Linked DNA regions of Lonchura striata. The protein of the gene in region 2 binds, or shares a complex with, the protein of the main gene of each other region. Links are inferred from orthologs where the notes say so. Each region holds a gene or a part of one and is shown on either strand. Other genes may lie near its edges. The genes, in order: H2AX and PAXIP1.

Region 1 (7,502 bases), on a different chromosome or scaffold from region 2:
CTAAATGACAAAAACCTGGCCTTTAGAAATGGATTATATTTGGTCTGTTTTCTTGTCAGCTGTAACAGCACACTGTTCTTGAGGTTCTTCAGACTAGGTTTTTCATGAGCATCTTAATTCCTTGCCTACTGTTTTCCTGCTGCCTTACTTTGAGGTGTTCGTATTTGCAGAATGAAGATGGACCAAATGATGATGTGCAGCATGTTGGCATCACAGCCAAGAATGTTCCTGGTCAGGCCCAGGAAGCTGCAGAGAACCTGGGTGTTGAACTAGCTAGTTTACTTCTGAGCAAGGGAGCAAAGCATATCCTTAGCGTGGCAAGGCAGCTCAATGATGCCCGCTGAACTTGGGGTGTGGCCAGCAGGAGTGCTACAATTCTAGCTACAAGTCTGTGCAGCTGCATCATGATCCTCTGGAGGGATTTATTTCAACATTCACACCAGTCTTGCCTGACATTTGGGTGCAAAAAACTTGAAATATGAAGCTAACTAACTTAAGTAGTTTCTGCTCTTCAGAGTTTTTATCCCTCTCCACATTTCTCTAAATTGTTAAGCGTCTTTATGAAGTATTGTCAACAACTTTTGTAGCTAGAGAACTGAAAGAAAAAAATTAAAAATAAAATAAAAGCCTTTAAGTGTTCAATTCCATTTAGGAGCAGAGTGCCTGTTGGGTTATAATCGGATACACAACTGCGCTGGTACTAAAATGCCGTACTGTGCTGAGTGTTTTCGGGAGTCATTATCTGGGCCTTTTCACTCACTGGATCACCAAAGGTTCCCATTAGATTCCTGATAGCATGTTCCTTATAGTAAAGGAGCAGAGATGCTACATTCACCCTTGGTCTTGGCAAAGGCTAATTACGTTCACCATTATACTAGCCAATTGGGTGGTATTAGATTGATACAATACATACATACACATATATATTAGACTAGCTAGATTGGCTTCCCTTGTATGTTTATCCACAAAGGTCACGAGAGCCAATTAGCTAGACTTGCCTATGAAGGGGGAGCTGAAGCAGAAGCCCAGATTCCAGACACTGGCTTCCTGCTCTTGCTACTGGGTCAGCATCCTCTGAGCAGGATTTTATTGTTACAGTGCCTTGAAGAAATACTGTAACAGCACCGGGGGTCCTGTTTTGTAAATAAAGTTTTATTTTCCAGACAACGTCCACTGCATGTCCCAGAGGTAGGTAGGAATGAAAATAACGGCTCCTTACTGAGCAGCTCTCAGGCTCAGTGTCTTGACTGACCCCGGGCCGGTTACTGCCCGCTCCCCCCGGCCCAGCTCCCCGCGGCCGGCCACGCCTCTCGCGCCCTGCCCTCCTCCCGCCTCCTCCGCGGATCGCAGCTCTCCCAGTGAGCAATGAGGTGGCCCTGAAAAGGGCCTTTGAATTGTGCCGGGAGGGCCGGCCGGCCTAGTACTCTTGCGACTGCTGCCGGCTGCCCTTCTTGCTGGTCTTCTTGGGCAGCAGCACAGCCTGGATGTTGGGCAGGACGCCGCCCTGCGCGATGGTAACGCCGCCTAACAGCTTGTTGAGCTCCTCGTCGTTGCGCACCGCCAGCTGCAGGTGACGGGGGATGATGCGCGTCTTCTTGTTGTCGCGAGCCGCGTTGCCCGCCAGCTCCAGGATCTCGGCGGTCAGGTACTCGAGCACGGCCGCCAGGTACACGGGCGCACCCGCCCCCACCCGCTCTGCGTAGTGCCCGCGCCGCAGCAGTCGGTGGACGCGCCCTACCGGGAACTGCAGCCCGGCCCGGGACGAGCGAGACTTGGCCTTAGCGCGGCCCTTGCCGCCGCTCTTGCCACGGCCGGACATGGCGCTCGCCGCGCTGCTGAACCGATGCGCCCGGGAGGCCGCGGCCGGGATTTTTATAACCTCCCGCCAAGTAGGGGCCAGCTCATTGGACAGCGCCGCCGCCCCTAGCTATTGGTGCGTTTGCCGGAAGAAGCTTTTTGCTGACTGGTCGCTTCTGTGATACCAACGCGCTTGCTCTGAATGTGTTGGCCGCGTGGTCCGGCCAATCAGCAAGCGAGGCGCCAAATTTAAACCACGCCGAGCGATCGCTGGGGCTCTGCCGCCGGCCCTCAGCGAGCATGCGCGCTGCCGCCGGTCCCTCCGCGCCTCTCGTGCCGCCCTCAGGGCGCACCGTGCTTTATGAGGGCTGGGGACAGTCCCTGCGCCTGGCTTCCACCCAGGGCAAGGTAGAGGGGCTCCCGGGATGCCTACAGACTGAAAGGTATCCCTGTCTGTTGGGCATTTACCTTAGGGTGGCACATGGGGGGAAGAACAGTTAGGGATATGAAAAAACCTACCATGAGATCCTTTTGTCAATGTGTGAGATACATCATGGGTTTATAATACAGGTATATTAAGAGAAGCACCAAAGGAGAGTGAGGAGTCAAAGTGGACTAGGAGAAAAAAACCCATGGGAACATTGAAGGAAAAATAAAAGTGAAGAAAGTGGTAATGTTTTAAAATGTTGCTGATCAGTAAGAATTATCTCTGCAGTCTGTGCTGTCTTAATTAACCCAACTTGTATGTTTTTTCCCCCAGAGTGAGCAGACTGTCTATGCTGTGTGCCTCTGGAGGTCCAGTTGCCAGCAACTAGGATTAGGACACAAATCAGAGCAGCCAGTGTCGTTCCAGAAAATGGGAAGACTTCAGCACATGCAGGAAGGGCCCAGGGCTAGGTGGAATGCAAGTGTGAGTCATCCCTAGCGAAGGAGCAAGACCTAGACAGCAAGTAGGATAATGGGCTTTGGAGCCCAGGACCAGATACGGGAGCAGCAGGATGCTTACTGGAGGTAAGCCAACTTTCTGAGGAAAATGGAGTGGCTGTCCTAGAAGTACCTATTGGAAGGCCACATTCCTAGGTCAGCTAGCAGAGAGATTTCTCTGTTCATATTCCTTGATACCAGGAAATCTAGCAGCTGGTTACTGGACAGACTGTTTAAGGCCAGGAACTGAATGATTTTGTTATGAACAAAACAGCCTGGCTGGGACACTTGGCTCGAACTAAGTACTGACATTGAAATGTTAATTACCCAATTGCTCCTGGGAATCACCTACACCCCCACCCAAACTAGGACTGGGATGCAGAAGAATCCAGTGGAATCATGGGAGGGGGTTTTGGGGATGAAAAACACCCCTAAATGTAAAAGAGGGGCACAGTGGAGGGGGCTGGATGGGTGTGCTGGTTGGGGAAAAGGGAAGCCCATCCCTAGTCTGTGTTTGACCTGTCACCATGACCTGCTGAGGACCAGATTGGACTGGGCTGTGGGAAGCAGGCACAAGGAATCAGACACTTTACCTGGTGTTACCAGGAGGGCAGGAGGGGGATAGCTGCTGCTGGACCTTAGCAGCAGGCTCTGCACATCCCCCCAGCCTTCGGAGGAAAGGAGAGAGGATGGTCTGCTGGGACTTCAGATACAGACTGGACACCTCTGCACCTCCGGCTACCAGCGTGCCACTCCAGGGACAGACTCTGCAGCCTTCTCACCCTTCGGCTACCGGAAGAAGCTACACCACCCCTGTGCCGAGCTGACTTTTTAATAGAGCTGAACACTAATAAAGGCATGGACCCTGTTCATTTCAATTTCATGATGTCTATGTGGATGTGGTGATGAATACACTGTACTAGTAGACTTACAAACTGATCTGCTGGAGGGAAGGAAGAGGCTTCAGCCACTTGTACCATTCATACTTGAGTGCTGTGTGTTTTCTGTGTTGATCAGTGCTGCTGGACACAGGCATTTTTGCCTTCTGGTAATGCATTCCAAGCCTTGTTACTAGCCGAACTTGGGTGTTGGGAGGTGCAAAGACTATAATCTGGTACCCCAATGGCTGTTCTATGTTTTTTCTGTAGCAATTCTGTGTTCAACTGGTGCTAAATACTGCTCTATAAGTAGCTATTTGTAATCGAGGAAAAGGGATTGGCAGTTAGCCAATCAGGGCCTTAGTTCTACATTAATAAAGGATCTATTGATTCCCTCTTAAGACAAGGATGTGGTGATCCTCACTCTGCTAGCATGTCCTCTTCCAGGGAGGAAGGCAGACTATAAAGGTATTCAGAATTAAAACCTCATCAGCAGGAACATTTCCAGTAGCCATAAAAAATAGGGAGTCCACTGCAGAAATGATCAACTGCCTAAGAGGGTAGAAAGCTACAGATGGATATAACCTAGTTTCACTGCCTGTCAATATTGTCGAGGCAAAGCACTGCAGGGGAAAGGGTACCATGAATTGTTTTATTCTTGGAGCACTCTGAGCTTTGAGTATGGGTTATAACATGTCATTCTATGTCCATGGACCAAAAACAGGATTGAGAAGCCAGGAACGGAGTCTGGTTTCCTTATTTTCCTCACAGAAATTAAAGTTGCTGTTTTCTCTCTTGGTGAACAGTAATGACTTTGCTAGATGTATAGAGATTCCATCTTTCCCACTTTCCCTAAGTGCTGTCATTTGCTTCCCCTCTAAAATGTATTCTTAATAACACCGATGTCCAAGTAGCAGTGAATCTTTTCTACCACAGAATTGGACAAAAGCCTTTGGTGCACAAAGAACATCCTGGTTCAAAACTAGCCCATGCAAAGCAGTTGCTTGCATTTTGACAGGTATTCTGAGGATCCCAGAAGGCAGGAGCAACATCAGTTGAATCATTTGGTCAAGCAACTGGAGGAGATGGCAGGTAGAACTCTTTCCCTTGCTCCCAACAGTCCAGTCAGACATCATAAAACAAGCGCACTAGTTGGTACCGGATTGAAAATGCAATCGTGCTGCCAAGGACCTAGGTAAAAATCAGACACATAACAGAAACATTATACTGTCAAATGGTTTACAGGCTGTCAGATTCCTCTTTTCCAAATGGATTTGCTAAACTTTCCAGTATGCCTTGTTTCATAAAAGAGCAACTAAAAGGCTACTTCTTTTAGGTATAGGAAGATAAATGGCAGGCCAACCAAAGACATTGTTTCTTTCTCTGATGATTTTAGATATCAGTGGGAGATTTCTCCATGTTCCTGCACACAATCACATTCTAAGAACACGTGGATGAGATAAAAGTTGGAGTAACTCCTTCTCCCTTAAGGAGCCTGTATTGTAACATAAACCCCGTGGTTTGTATTAGAAAATACCTTATGTCAAAGCTGAAATTCAGCATCCTTACTATAAGGTGCTGTCTGGACTTCTCTGCTGTGACTGGGTAAGTGCTATGTACTTCCTGTCTTCTCCCATCCCCGATGTCATCTGCCTGAGCCCTCAACAGGCTTTCATTGCAAGTTTTTCCTCTCAAATCAGAAACTGCCTGTCTCTTTCCTAGTAAGAATACCTTATCCTAAATCTGAAGATGAAAAGAAGGATTTTATTGTGGGCAGTTAATCAATGCAGGCCTTTCCAAAAAGTGATGTTTTTACTACACTATGCTCAAAAATTCACATGCTGAATAGAGGCAGTGGCAAGATCTGTGAAGCATATCCTTATGCTCCAAGTGGCTTCCAAATGCTCCCACATGCCCCTCAGACTGAGAAACTGCTGAGCCGTGTGCCATGCTTACAGAAGCCCACTTGCTGGTGACAACTCTGAGACTGTTACTTGGTATTACTGAAAAACAGGACATACCAAAAGGCTGTCTTGAGCAAGAGTGACAAGGCACTCTGCTGTGCTCATGTTTTCCTTGGAATCAATTACTCGTGCTTTGGGAATCTTCTTAAGCTAACCTCCTGACTTTTTTTTATAAGCTCTCAGTGAACAGAGAGCTGTGTGTGGATTTCTTTTCTCCTTGAGGTATGTAAGCCTCTCATTCTCCCCTCAAGCTCCACAGCTCAACTGCACCTTGTGTGAAGAGCACAGTATTTTACTTTCCCCTTAAAACTCTTGAGACTGACTTGGATCTGTTTCTACTGCAGAGTAGATCTTTCTACTGTAGGAACCCTTTGTCTGACCTGAATGAGTAGCAACAGGAGAGTGAGATTTCGCTCGTGGGTGGGTCCGATCAGCTTTATGACAAAATTAATAAGTGTCATATTACTGCATTCGGTGTATTCGCCATCTTCATCTGTTCCACTCCTCACATCCACTATGTGCAAGATCTTGACTACCTGAGGAAAGAAGTATTGCATGCTATTTCACCAGGTATTTTTGGTGATCACTGGCTAGTCTTGCTCAAGAGCCCTTTTGCTGCACCAGCCCTGAAATCTTGGTTGTGCTCTAACTGAAAAGACAGGACAGACATATGATGGTCCTGGGGCACTTCTATGTGTGGTTATTCTGAAAGACTGATTTTTAACAAAACTGAGTGACTATGAGAGATGGTAAGAGACTTTCTTCTAGATGTGAACCAGGCAGTAACTACTGAACCCAGAAGTTCTGCATTTTCTCCCGCCCTGTTTCTCTTGCAGTTGATGACTGCCTCAAAATGCATCTGTAATTTCCACAAATTACCTTCAGAATGTTTGTTCCCAGGACAGAGAGGTTCTTAGTTTTGAATTTGGAGTAGCTCATCTCCAACTTCCCTGTACTAGGATTAAGCCTAAAAGAAACATTTAAAATTTAGTCCAGATGCAACAAGGAGATGAGAGATCACTTTGTAAGCAGACTTAGACCCATAGCTGAGAAAGAAACCCAGTGGTGGAAAAAACAGGAATAACCTTAATGCACTTAAAAACAGCTGCTGGTATCTAGCCCCTCAAGTAGGGCAAAGAAGACTCCTTCCCATTGCACCTCCAATATATGTTTTGTAGTTTAAAGAATAAAACAGAAGAATCTAATATCTGCAGATAGAACTGCTGATGTGGCATAGTGCTACAGAATGCTTGCTACTATGAAATCTTAGCAGATCCCATTGCCGCAGCATTAAAAGCAGCCAGTGTCAATTTCTCTTGATCTTGTAGCTTAGAATCATCATGGTCTAACCTTGTTAAAAATGATCTGAGGGGTGGGCTGGTCAGAAATGTGCTGCTGTCTTTTAAAGAGAAAACATACTTTGATGGCTTTTAAAAAGAGCACCTTCCACCACCTTTCTCAGCTGGTGTTGGAGGTAAAAGACACAACCTGTAGTACCACTATAGGTCACTTGGTACATTACCTCGGTAACCGGTGACGGGGACACGGAATGATGTGGAAGAGTTGAGGCAATGAGTAGAGGAAATTGAGTACTTGCGGGATGAAAAAAAGCAGCATTGTTTTGCTGAAGTGTCCCAAGATCCCCACCACAGCAAAGGTCATGCCAGCAAAGTAGCAGAAGGTATCCCCAACAAACACTCGAGATGGGTACCTGCAATCCATGGAGCAGAAAATCAAAGGTCTGACATGACTGCTATTGCCACAAAAATGACCATTTATAACTACTGAAAGTATGCCCACATTGCAGGTCAGGGGCCCATGGAGATCTGCAGCAGATCTACACAGTAAAAACAATTGTAGGTATTTATGCTAAGAATTGCAGGACTGGGACCCACCACTTGACTTGCAGAGCACTTTGTATGAAAAGACAGGCAGTGAG
Region 2 (9,086 bases):
TGTCTCACTTCTGACAAAATTATCCTTACATTAAGTTGTGCTAATCAAAATATTTTCCCCTCTGCTCCTTTATGCTCAGTTATAGTAAAGGTAGAACTTGCTACTTGGCACTTGCAAAGAAAGTTGTAACTATTATATTAAAAAAGAAAACTGTCAAGCAAATGACAAGGGATTCTCAGTGCAGTTCTGGAATTAGAAGAGAATCAAAAATGAAACTACCAGTTCCAAGGGAGCCTTTTAGGATTCAGCGTTGCTGTACAGATAATAAGAAAGTTTTTAATTATAAATCATATTTGCCGTTGCAAGCAGTCCCACTGAAGGAAAGAGGAAAAATGCATAGACAGCTCAAGCCAAAATAGAGCCCTCTGTGTACCTGTTTTGCACATTTTGATTCTGATTAAAAAGCAGATTTTATTCACATTAAGAAATGGGAATGGAGATAATGCAGGCAGCATGCCTTTAGAGATTTTCAACAACTTTCCAGGCTCACTGAAACTAACATCAGCTTCTGTGAAACCCTGCTTACTTTGTGAAAATATATTTTGTTGGAAAAGTAACATCTAGAGACCCAGCTGCTACCAAACAAGTATGTATTATTAACAAAGGACTAAGAAAGCCTTCTGCTCACAGGAGTAAAACAAATATACAATTTAATCTAAGCTTCAAATTTAATTAATAAGATAAAAAAATCAAGCTGTTGTTTTTTTCACAAGCAATTACGCCTAAATATGATATTGTAGGTGCATATGAATTTTTCATATAATCATTTGTGCACACAAATAAGGCATTTATGTAAGCATGCACAAATCTTGTCAGCTTGGTGGGCTTTCACCTCGTGCAAGCAACACACAATACAAAATTGAGATCATAGTTCTTCTGGAAACATGCTCATGAAGTTCTCTGTACAGAGCTCTTGTAGTTTAGAGATCAGAGGAGTCTTTCTGGCACAGATAATGGATTGCTCACATCCTTGTGGACTCTGGTGATGACATACAACATGTACATGGCCCGTGTGACATCAGCTCAGAGCAACAGGGACAGCACCGATGGCCTTACCCTGCTCACCCTCTGTGGACAATTTTGAGGCCCTGTGTGGTACCTTGGCTTGGGTTCCTGTGGGAGATGGATTTGTAGAGAGTTCTTAGGGCCTGGCAGAAGGCTCACACAGCATCCATCTGTAAACCTTGAGATAAGAAATGTTGATTTAGAAATGCTATGCTAAAATGCCTCTCAGTTGTCCCATCAGGAAAAGAGTATTGTCCGACAGGTTCCCACCCACCTGTCTGCCCCTGTGCCCATCTGGCTTGTGGAGAAGGACCCTTGGTGGGCTGATGGTCCCTGGGATGGGCTGGAAGCAGCTGGCAGAGGAGCTGGGCTCTCCCTCCTTCCACTGTCACTCAGCTCGTGCAGATGAGCTTTATCTCATAACCTGACAAATCCATTTGAGGCTAAATACAGGCAAGCACTTTGCTCTGCACCTGGGCAGTGAGACCAGCCCAGTGATTTGACTTAGTTCTGTGTGCTGACCTGTGAGCAGAAGCCAGAATTTATTTCTGGCAAATTCAGGGGATATTTTTCTTCTTCAATAACATATTTTTTGTGTTCAAAAACATACTTTTTCCATCTTGTTTTCTGCTCTTATGGCCTGGAAACAAGATCATACACGTGATGCAAAACCAGAGCTATTAATTTTTGTTAGAAATAGTCTAATTACTAGAATTTAAATAATTTCTTGACAGGTGACTCATGAAATACATAAAGAAGTAAAAAAATATGTTCATTAATTTAATTCCACTGCTTACTTAGAAGGTACTTAAAGGGAAAAACTTGTGACTCATGAGAGTAGTCTTTTTGTCTGGGAGTGATCATTTTGAAGACAAATTTTGAATAAAGAAAGCTATATTTTTAGTAGCACTGATGATAATACAACAGCCTCTCTGTGCAATCCAGTACTGAGATCTACAGAATTTCTTACTGGGGCCATTAGAACTCTTTAAACTGCTAGCAGGCAGGTTTTCTGTAGGGTTGTTGCTGTGCATCGTTTCATGGCACAGAATGGAAACTCCCCTGCTTTGGCTGTGCTGCCTGGCATCTGCTCCTGAGTTGGGCAGGATTTTCCAAGTTCTGCTTTCACCAGCTCTGGGGCTCTGTCCAGGAGCTGCTCCCAGTGCTTATTCATTTTGGGGAGGGACTTTGCCTCAGCAAAGTTATTTTTACTCCAGTCAGGAAGAGGAGGACAGACCCAAAAGTCCATGTCCCATGTCCCAGGTAGGCAACAACAACTTTCTCTATGCTATACAGGATCAAATTCATAAAACAGTTTTCTTCTGGTAACCCTATTATAGTTAATTCTTAACCTTTCTTTTTTTTTCACATTTCATTACACTTCCATACTGTGGATGGAACCACACTTTATTCTTGGCTTTTTACCATAATATTATTAACCATTAAAAACAATTATTTACCCTTAAGGATAATTACACTTACCTTTATGAATGGGTACTCTTTATTTGTGAAAAATTGATTTTGCAATGAATTTCAATGATTTGACACATTAATCCGACCTTCTATTTCAGGAGAATTTCAAAATTGCTGTGATTTAAAATGGAAAATCCATCTCATATTCTTCTGATTTGACTAGCTGAGCAAATGAAGATCCAAGGTGGTCCCACCCAATGCTGCAATAGCTGCAACTGCAGCTGAAAGTTTGAAAAATGTGTGCAGGTTGTTTGCATTATGTTTACTGCCAGTATTAGCATAATTTCAAAACTCCTGTTTTGAAATACTTGTAATCTTAAGAGTTTTTCAAAAACCCGAAAATTATGTGACTCTGGAAAACCCAAAGGACAGGAGGGCTGGAGGAACTCATTAGAGTAACAAAGAAAATAGGCAGAGAAGGGAAATCAAGAGGACAAACCCTTGGAGGAGAAATCTTTGGTTTTCTTTGTGTGGAGCAGGAATATGTGATAGTGTAGGGACTTAGATATAAGGAAAGTATTCCTGTGGGAAAGGGAAATTTCTCAGTGATCACACTGAGAAAGATGAATCTAAGTAAAGAATGACATCAGGAAGAGGAAAGAACTCAGAGAAGAACGTGGAGTAGAAACCTGAGAGATAGCTATATCTGTCAAAGAAAATAAGTGAAAATTACCAGTGCTGGAAGATGCAGATTATTACAGAGACAATGAAATCCAACAGGAAAGGAAGCTCAGGAAGCAGTAGTGTTAATGAAATCTGATAGATTAAGGAGAATATGAAATATATATTGCTGCAGGATTTTGGTCAAAGTGGTTCAGTTTAATGTGAAGAAGTGAAAATGGATCAAAGACGGAGTTGGAAAGAGTGAAAATTATGGAACTAAGAAAGCAAAGGCTGGACATGGCTATAAAGGAAAGCAGAGCTCAGAGAAGTCTTTTCAAAGGCAGTCCAAGACATACATGGCACAGAAGAAAATTAATCTAAACAAGGATTATTAGACAAGATAGGAAGTAAGATGAGAAAATGAATTGTTGAAAGAAAGAGAAAATATGTTTAAAAGCAGATGGTTATTTCTACTTTTTTTTCCTGCCCCATAACAAAAAAGTGTACCATATAAAAAAAGTTAAGGAATTTTTGGTTTGATTTTCGCTTTAAAAAGTAAATTTGATTGGGAGGTAGGGAAAACAGTTAAAACTTTCAACCAAGTGTTCTTTCTGGAGTAGAAAAAGAACTGGTGATAGGTTGGGTATTTCTTTCATAATTGGAATAGAAAGGAGACGATGTCATGTGGAGATCCAGGGGATTTGGGTGAAGCCTATAACCAGTAAAATATTGTCCAGTAAAAGTAAATAAATGACTGGGAAACCAATTTATGTTTCTACCATGGTTTCAAGAATCACATAGGTAAGAAAAATAGTTTCCTCCTGGGGAAGTGGGACAGGCCTTGCAGGCAGGAGGGTAACAGTATTTTTATTTTTACAGGTGCCCTGTATTTTTATTTCACTAAGTCTTTCAATGCCATCTCTTAACATTGCTCTGAGTGTGGGAGGGAGTCATTGTCCACTTCAAAGTATTACGAGGATGTTCAAAACTCTTTTGGAAAGCTGAGTGCTTATTATATAGATAAAATGATATATTATCTAATATTTGTATTTTAAACATCCTTGTCAATGCAGCACTGTTTAAAATATATGACATGAAGCAGGCTCTGAAAGTGCTCGTTTCTTTCTGTTGACTCCAACCTATAGAAAGTAATAATAATTGTTTTCTGTTACCTAAAATAGGTAAGACACATCCCCCTCTAGGTGGGAACGCTTCACTATCAACGTAGATGGATGCTTTGCAGTTTCTGAGGGAAAATACTTTATTTCGGTGGGGCTCGATGACCTTAGAGGCCTTTTCGCACCGTAGCTCTGATTTCGGGAGCAGTCGGTAGGTTCACACATGAGCTGGCCGGTGGAACAGACCCACGCATTGGCGGGCGCTGGCTGCGAGGGGCCGCGCCGCCATCGCCCGCGTCCCCTCACGGCGGGGCCGAGGGCGGGGCCTGGGCGCCCCGGGGCGGGGCCAGGGGTGGTTGCCTTCCCTCCCCCGCCAATGGGCGGGGCCGGGTATCCCCGCTGCCCGCCTCTGTCGTTCGGGGCGAGTCCATTGCATCCCGCGCGGGGGGAGCTGCGGACCCGGATGCTGCCTGCCGGTCCGGTTCGGGGAAAGAGGGAGGAGCAGGGATAGCGCCTGTGGATCAGAGGCGGGCGCGGCCCTGCAGCAGCCGTGGTGGCTGATCGGGCGGGGGGAGCCGCTTTGCGGGGGCGGCTCTCCCCTCCCCCTTCCACCCCCCCTACGTCCCGGTGGGGGATGGTGTGTCCCGCAGCGCGCGCCTTGCTCGCGCGGTTCGGCGGCTCTGCGGGGGGAGGGGGACGGGAGAGACCCGGGCCCCGGCGGGTTTCGCACGGTGAGCGCGGGGAATAGCGGGCAGGGGGGAGCGCCCGCTGCTGCCGTCCGGGACCATGTTGGCGGACGACGAGGAGGAGCTGAAAGTCCCGGAGGAGATGTTCAAAGACGTCAAGTTCTTCGTGGTGGGAGACATCGACCCCAAGGTACCGGGTCATCCCTTCTTATCATTCCCGCCTTCCCTTTCGTCTCCCCCCCATCCCGACGTGGGGGGGGGCACAGTGGAACCGTCCGGCTACCGCGCGCGGGCTCGAGGCTCGCGCCGCCTCACGGGGAAAGGGCGGGAGCGGGGGGAGCGCGCGCCTGAGGGACCGGGCGGGATGGCTGAGGGGGGGAGGGGAGGCGGCCGGTCCAGATCCCGGCCCCGATCCCGGCCCCGATCCCGGCTGTGCCCGCGGGAAGCGCCGCTGCCGCCGCCATGGGAGCGGCGGCCCCGCCGCGCAGGCCCCGCCGGAGCCGCCTGAGCGGAGGAGGAGCGGGCGGAGGGACTTCCTGTGCTGAGCCGGGCCGGGCCGGGCGGGCAGCGGGGGCAGCGGCCGGCGCTCCTCCGATTCGGGCGCTCCGCAGGCCCGGCCCCTCCCTGTGCCCGGTTCCGTACGGGTACGCAGGGACGGGCCGTGGGGAAGGCTGGTCACGGCGGGCCGGGCTGGCTCTGCCCTCCCACACAGACCTTCCCGCCTTGGCGCGGCCCCGAGCCCGGACCCGCTACCGCCCCGGGGCCGCCGCTGCGGGGCTGCTGTGGGTTAGGCCGGGGGCCGCCCGCCCCTCTCGCCCTGGGCAATGCAGGTGGCCTGGCCGTGAGTAACACCCGTGGTGGGCGAAGGTGGTTGAAACAAAGTTTTGTGGCTTGTCCAATTAGATGCTTGAAATGCAACCTGCGGAGGTTTAGGACAGCGGCTTCCTGCAAGCAGGTTACTGCCTGCTTCACGCTGAAGTTAAAGTTCTTTGCCTCTCTGGTAGTTGCTGTAGTAAAGTCTTAGTTCAGTGTTGGTTTCCTTTATCATCCTGTCCTGACGCTCACTAGCTGTGTCCTGGAGGCACAGTCACTGGCCTGTTCAGATGGATTTCATTCCTATTGTGCTAAAATAAATACAGTCTAGGAAGAATGCAGTTGACAGGATGAAAACTTCTTTAGACAGGTTTCTAGATATAAAACTTAGTTCTTTAGGCATTAGGTCTTTAGAGATAAATTTTTTGATAGTGGGTTAGCACTCAACAGATTCCTGTACTTACCAAAAAACCCTACAGCAGCAGTTAGTATTATGTGTATGAGGGTGAGTGCAAAAATCCTGTAGCACTGTTGTACATAATTTGTCATTGGAGTAGTGTCTTGAAAAGCCTGTTTTAGTCATGTGTTGACATGGGAGGACAATTAGCAGATTTTCCATAGAGCAAATAGACAAGCATTCTCTTAAATTGGTTTTCTTTCTCATGCTAAATTTTATTGTTCTTTGCAGTCAGAGTCATTGTCATAGAGCTTTGATATGCTCCAAATTTGGTGCATTGAATGTTCCTCTGCCTGGCTTGGAGGCTGAGCCCGGTCAGAGTGAGGAGCTGGGCTGGGCTGAGCTCGGGGCCAGCTCCTGGGAGAACCCTCTGTACCGGCTTCAGCCCAGCTGGCAGCTAAGCACAGCACAGCTGCTCTCTCACCCCCACCCCTGAGCAGTGTAATGGGGAGGACATTCAAAAATTAAACTTACAGGTTGAGATATAAAAGCAGCTTAATAATTGAAAACCAGGTAATGGTAAATAATTGAATACAATGGTAATGGTAAATAATAATGCTAAGAAAAAGGGAAATAAAGGAAACCTTAAGCAAGTGAGGCACAATACAGTTGCTCACCGTGCACTGACTGATGCCAGACATCATTCCTGACCCCAGATCAGCCCTTCTTATGGGTAACTCCCCCAGTTTATATAGTGGGCATGACTTGCTTTGGTGTGGTTGGCCAGTTTGGGTCACCTGTCCAGGCTGTACTCCCTCCCAGCCTATTTTATAACTCCTTACTGGCAGAGGAAATCACAAAAAAAGTAGTCCTTAGGATAAACACAACTTAGGAAAAACCAAAACATCAGTGTGTTACCAACATTATTTCCATTCTGAATCCAAAACACAGAACCATGGCAGCTACAGAGAATAAATTAACTTTATCCTTGCTGAGACCAGGACACCCTCCTGTGGGTGTCCTCTGTGGTACCCTGGGACACCTGAGTACGAGGAGCGTTTATCAGGTGTGTTTTGAGCCAAGACAGAATACAGAAATTGTAAACCAAACTCAATCAGTTCTTAGAGTGAAATTTGTCCCATGACAAATAAAAAAGTTACAAATATCTTTGGCACTTTTTACTGCTTCACATACAGGTGGATGCCAGCTTGATTTTGCAGAGAATTTCCTCCTTCATCTTCTGGGAAGGAGCACACTTTGATCAACTTAAATTTCTAAATAGTTTCACAGAAAACCAGTTACTGTAATAAATATTAAAACACCTAGCACAAGTGAGCATGCTAATCAAAACAGATTCAAGAGTAAGAAGAAAAAAAGTAATTTTTTTTCAGGTGAATAACTGCATACCTACATTAAAGCATGTGCAGCATAAATTGGAAGGGAAGCAAAAGTCTGGAGTTGTGCCGAGGTGTTCTCTGGCACATGGAGGAGTTAGGTTGGCTCTCAGCTCCAAACCCATTCCACTCCATTGGGTGCATTTTGCTCCTCACACCTTACTGAGAGTGATGAGAAGATGTCAGCTCCTCTTTTTCTTTTAATAAATGCTCTTTCTGCTTTCCTCAAATATAAAATCCCAAACCATCATGTTTTGGAAACACCAGTTAAAATCAATATTTGCTTCAGAAAGAGATAAAAAGTAATGCAACACAGCACAAGGTCTTTGAACAGGATATTTGGTTTTGGTTATCTTGTTTAATTTATTTTTATATGCCCATTGCCTTACTTCTTAATTTTGAACTATTCCTCTTGTTTCTTCCAACCCAGATTTTAGTGGGAGAGAAAGATAAAATTTTTATTCCTCCCCTCACCAAAAAAAAAAAAAAATATTGGATATAAACTAATACTTAAAATGCAGGATTTTTACATATTTTACATATTTTTAAATTATGTGTTCATATTAAGGCTTTTCAGCATTATGTTTTCTAGTTACAGGTGTATGGTTGATATAAATGTAAATGAGTTCTTTAATTGTGCCAACACAACTTTTCAGTCCAGGCACTACTTAATCTGTAGAAGTTGTGTATTTTAAGTGGAGTTTTGAAGTTTACGGGACCTAAATTAGGATGAGTCTTTTTTCATGACACATAAAATAATCAAGTGCATTATTATGTATCACATTTATAGTGTTTAAGCTACATGAAACTAGTGTAACTTTTTGTATAAGCAGATGCTTTGCACAAGTTCTGTAATGGAACATTATTTTGATATTAAAAAATATCATACTTTTAGCACATTATTCATAGCTACTTTCTGATGCTGTCAGATTTGGGCTCTCAGTTTTCATGACGTTCACTCCTTTTTTTAGCCTTCCCCTGAATGAGCAGTCTAATGGGATTGTAACTCAGGGAGAGCTGTGTGAGACAAGGAGCTCATGTGCTGAGACTGTTCCTAAATACCTTTTGTTTTCAAAAGTGCTTTATTTGGATTTAGCTTCTCCTTTTGGAATGATAGCATCCTGTGGTTCTTTACGGTTAACTGGATTTCATGAAGGAAGGTATATCATGATTTAGGGGATTGATATGCAAAATGGAAATGTTCACTCCTGTTTCTGGCAGTGGTGAGAAGAACAGCAAGCTCATGATAATTTTCTTGGTTATTTTAGAGTAGTTATTTTGGTAAGATTCATATATTGCAGAAAAAAATTTAACTTTTGTTTTCTTAAATGGAGTTTTAAAGTCAGGTACTTCTGTCAGGAAGTGCCTCCTCAGTAAGTGGGGATTTTTCTATCCCTGTTTTCTGCTTGACAGAAATGCTTTATAAAATAGCTTGATGCTATGTTTTAGAGTCTCTTTTTCAGTATTTCTTTATCCTGGTGAGTGTACAGGGTAGGGAGTAATTGCTTAAGGAACAATGAATTAATTAATACTTTGTTTGATGAATGCATTGCCTTGCTCTCTGCTGTTTACTGTTGTGGGCAGAGCATTCTGTTTT

What was found.
Region 1: the proteins of PAXIP1 (region 2) and H2AX are in contact, whole or in part, in a crystal structure (PDB 3SQD), measured with the Homo sapiens proteins. The link is inferred for Lonchura striata from reciprocal best matches to the Homo sapiens genes PAXIP1 and H2AX. Residues at the interface, in NP_031375.3 of Homo sapiens: Phe871, Thr872, Gly873, Phe874, Pro876, Lys907, Thr909, Arg910, Thr911, Val912, Lys913, Pro986, Glu1050, Leu1053; in NP_002096.1 of Homo sapiens: Gln138, Ser140, Gln141, Glu142, Tyr143.

The regions. Positions count from the first base shown.
Region 1 is NC_134625.1:11,116,108-11,123,609, forward strand, and holds H2AX (histone H2AX), read right to left. Parts: upstream 1,838-7,502; 5' UTR 1,820-1,837; coding exon 1,418-1,819; 3' UTR 1,132-1,417; downstream 1-1,131. Other genes in the region: HMBS (porphobilinogen deaminase), read left to right, coding at 171-344; DPAGT1 (UDP-N-acetylglucosamine--dolichyl-phosphate N-acetylglucosaminephosphotransferase), read right to left, coding at 4,725-4,790, 5,944-6,099, 6,443-6,530, 7,086-7,274. UniProt on the Homo sapiens protein: Variant histone H2A which replaces conventional H2A in a subset of nucleosomes. Nucleosomes wrap and compact DNA into chromatin, limiting DNA accessibility to the cellular machineries which require DNA as a template.
Region 2 is NC_134603.1:149,366,058-149,375,143, forward strand, and holds the start of PAXIP1 (PAX-interacting protein 1), read left to right. Parts: upstream 1-4,759; 5' UTR 4,760-4,985; coding exon 4,986-5,075; intron 5,076-9,086.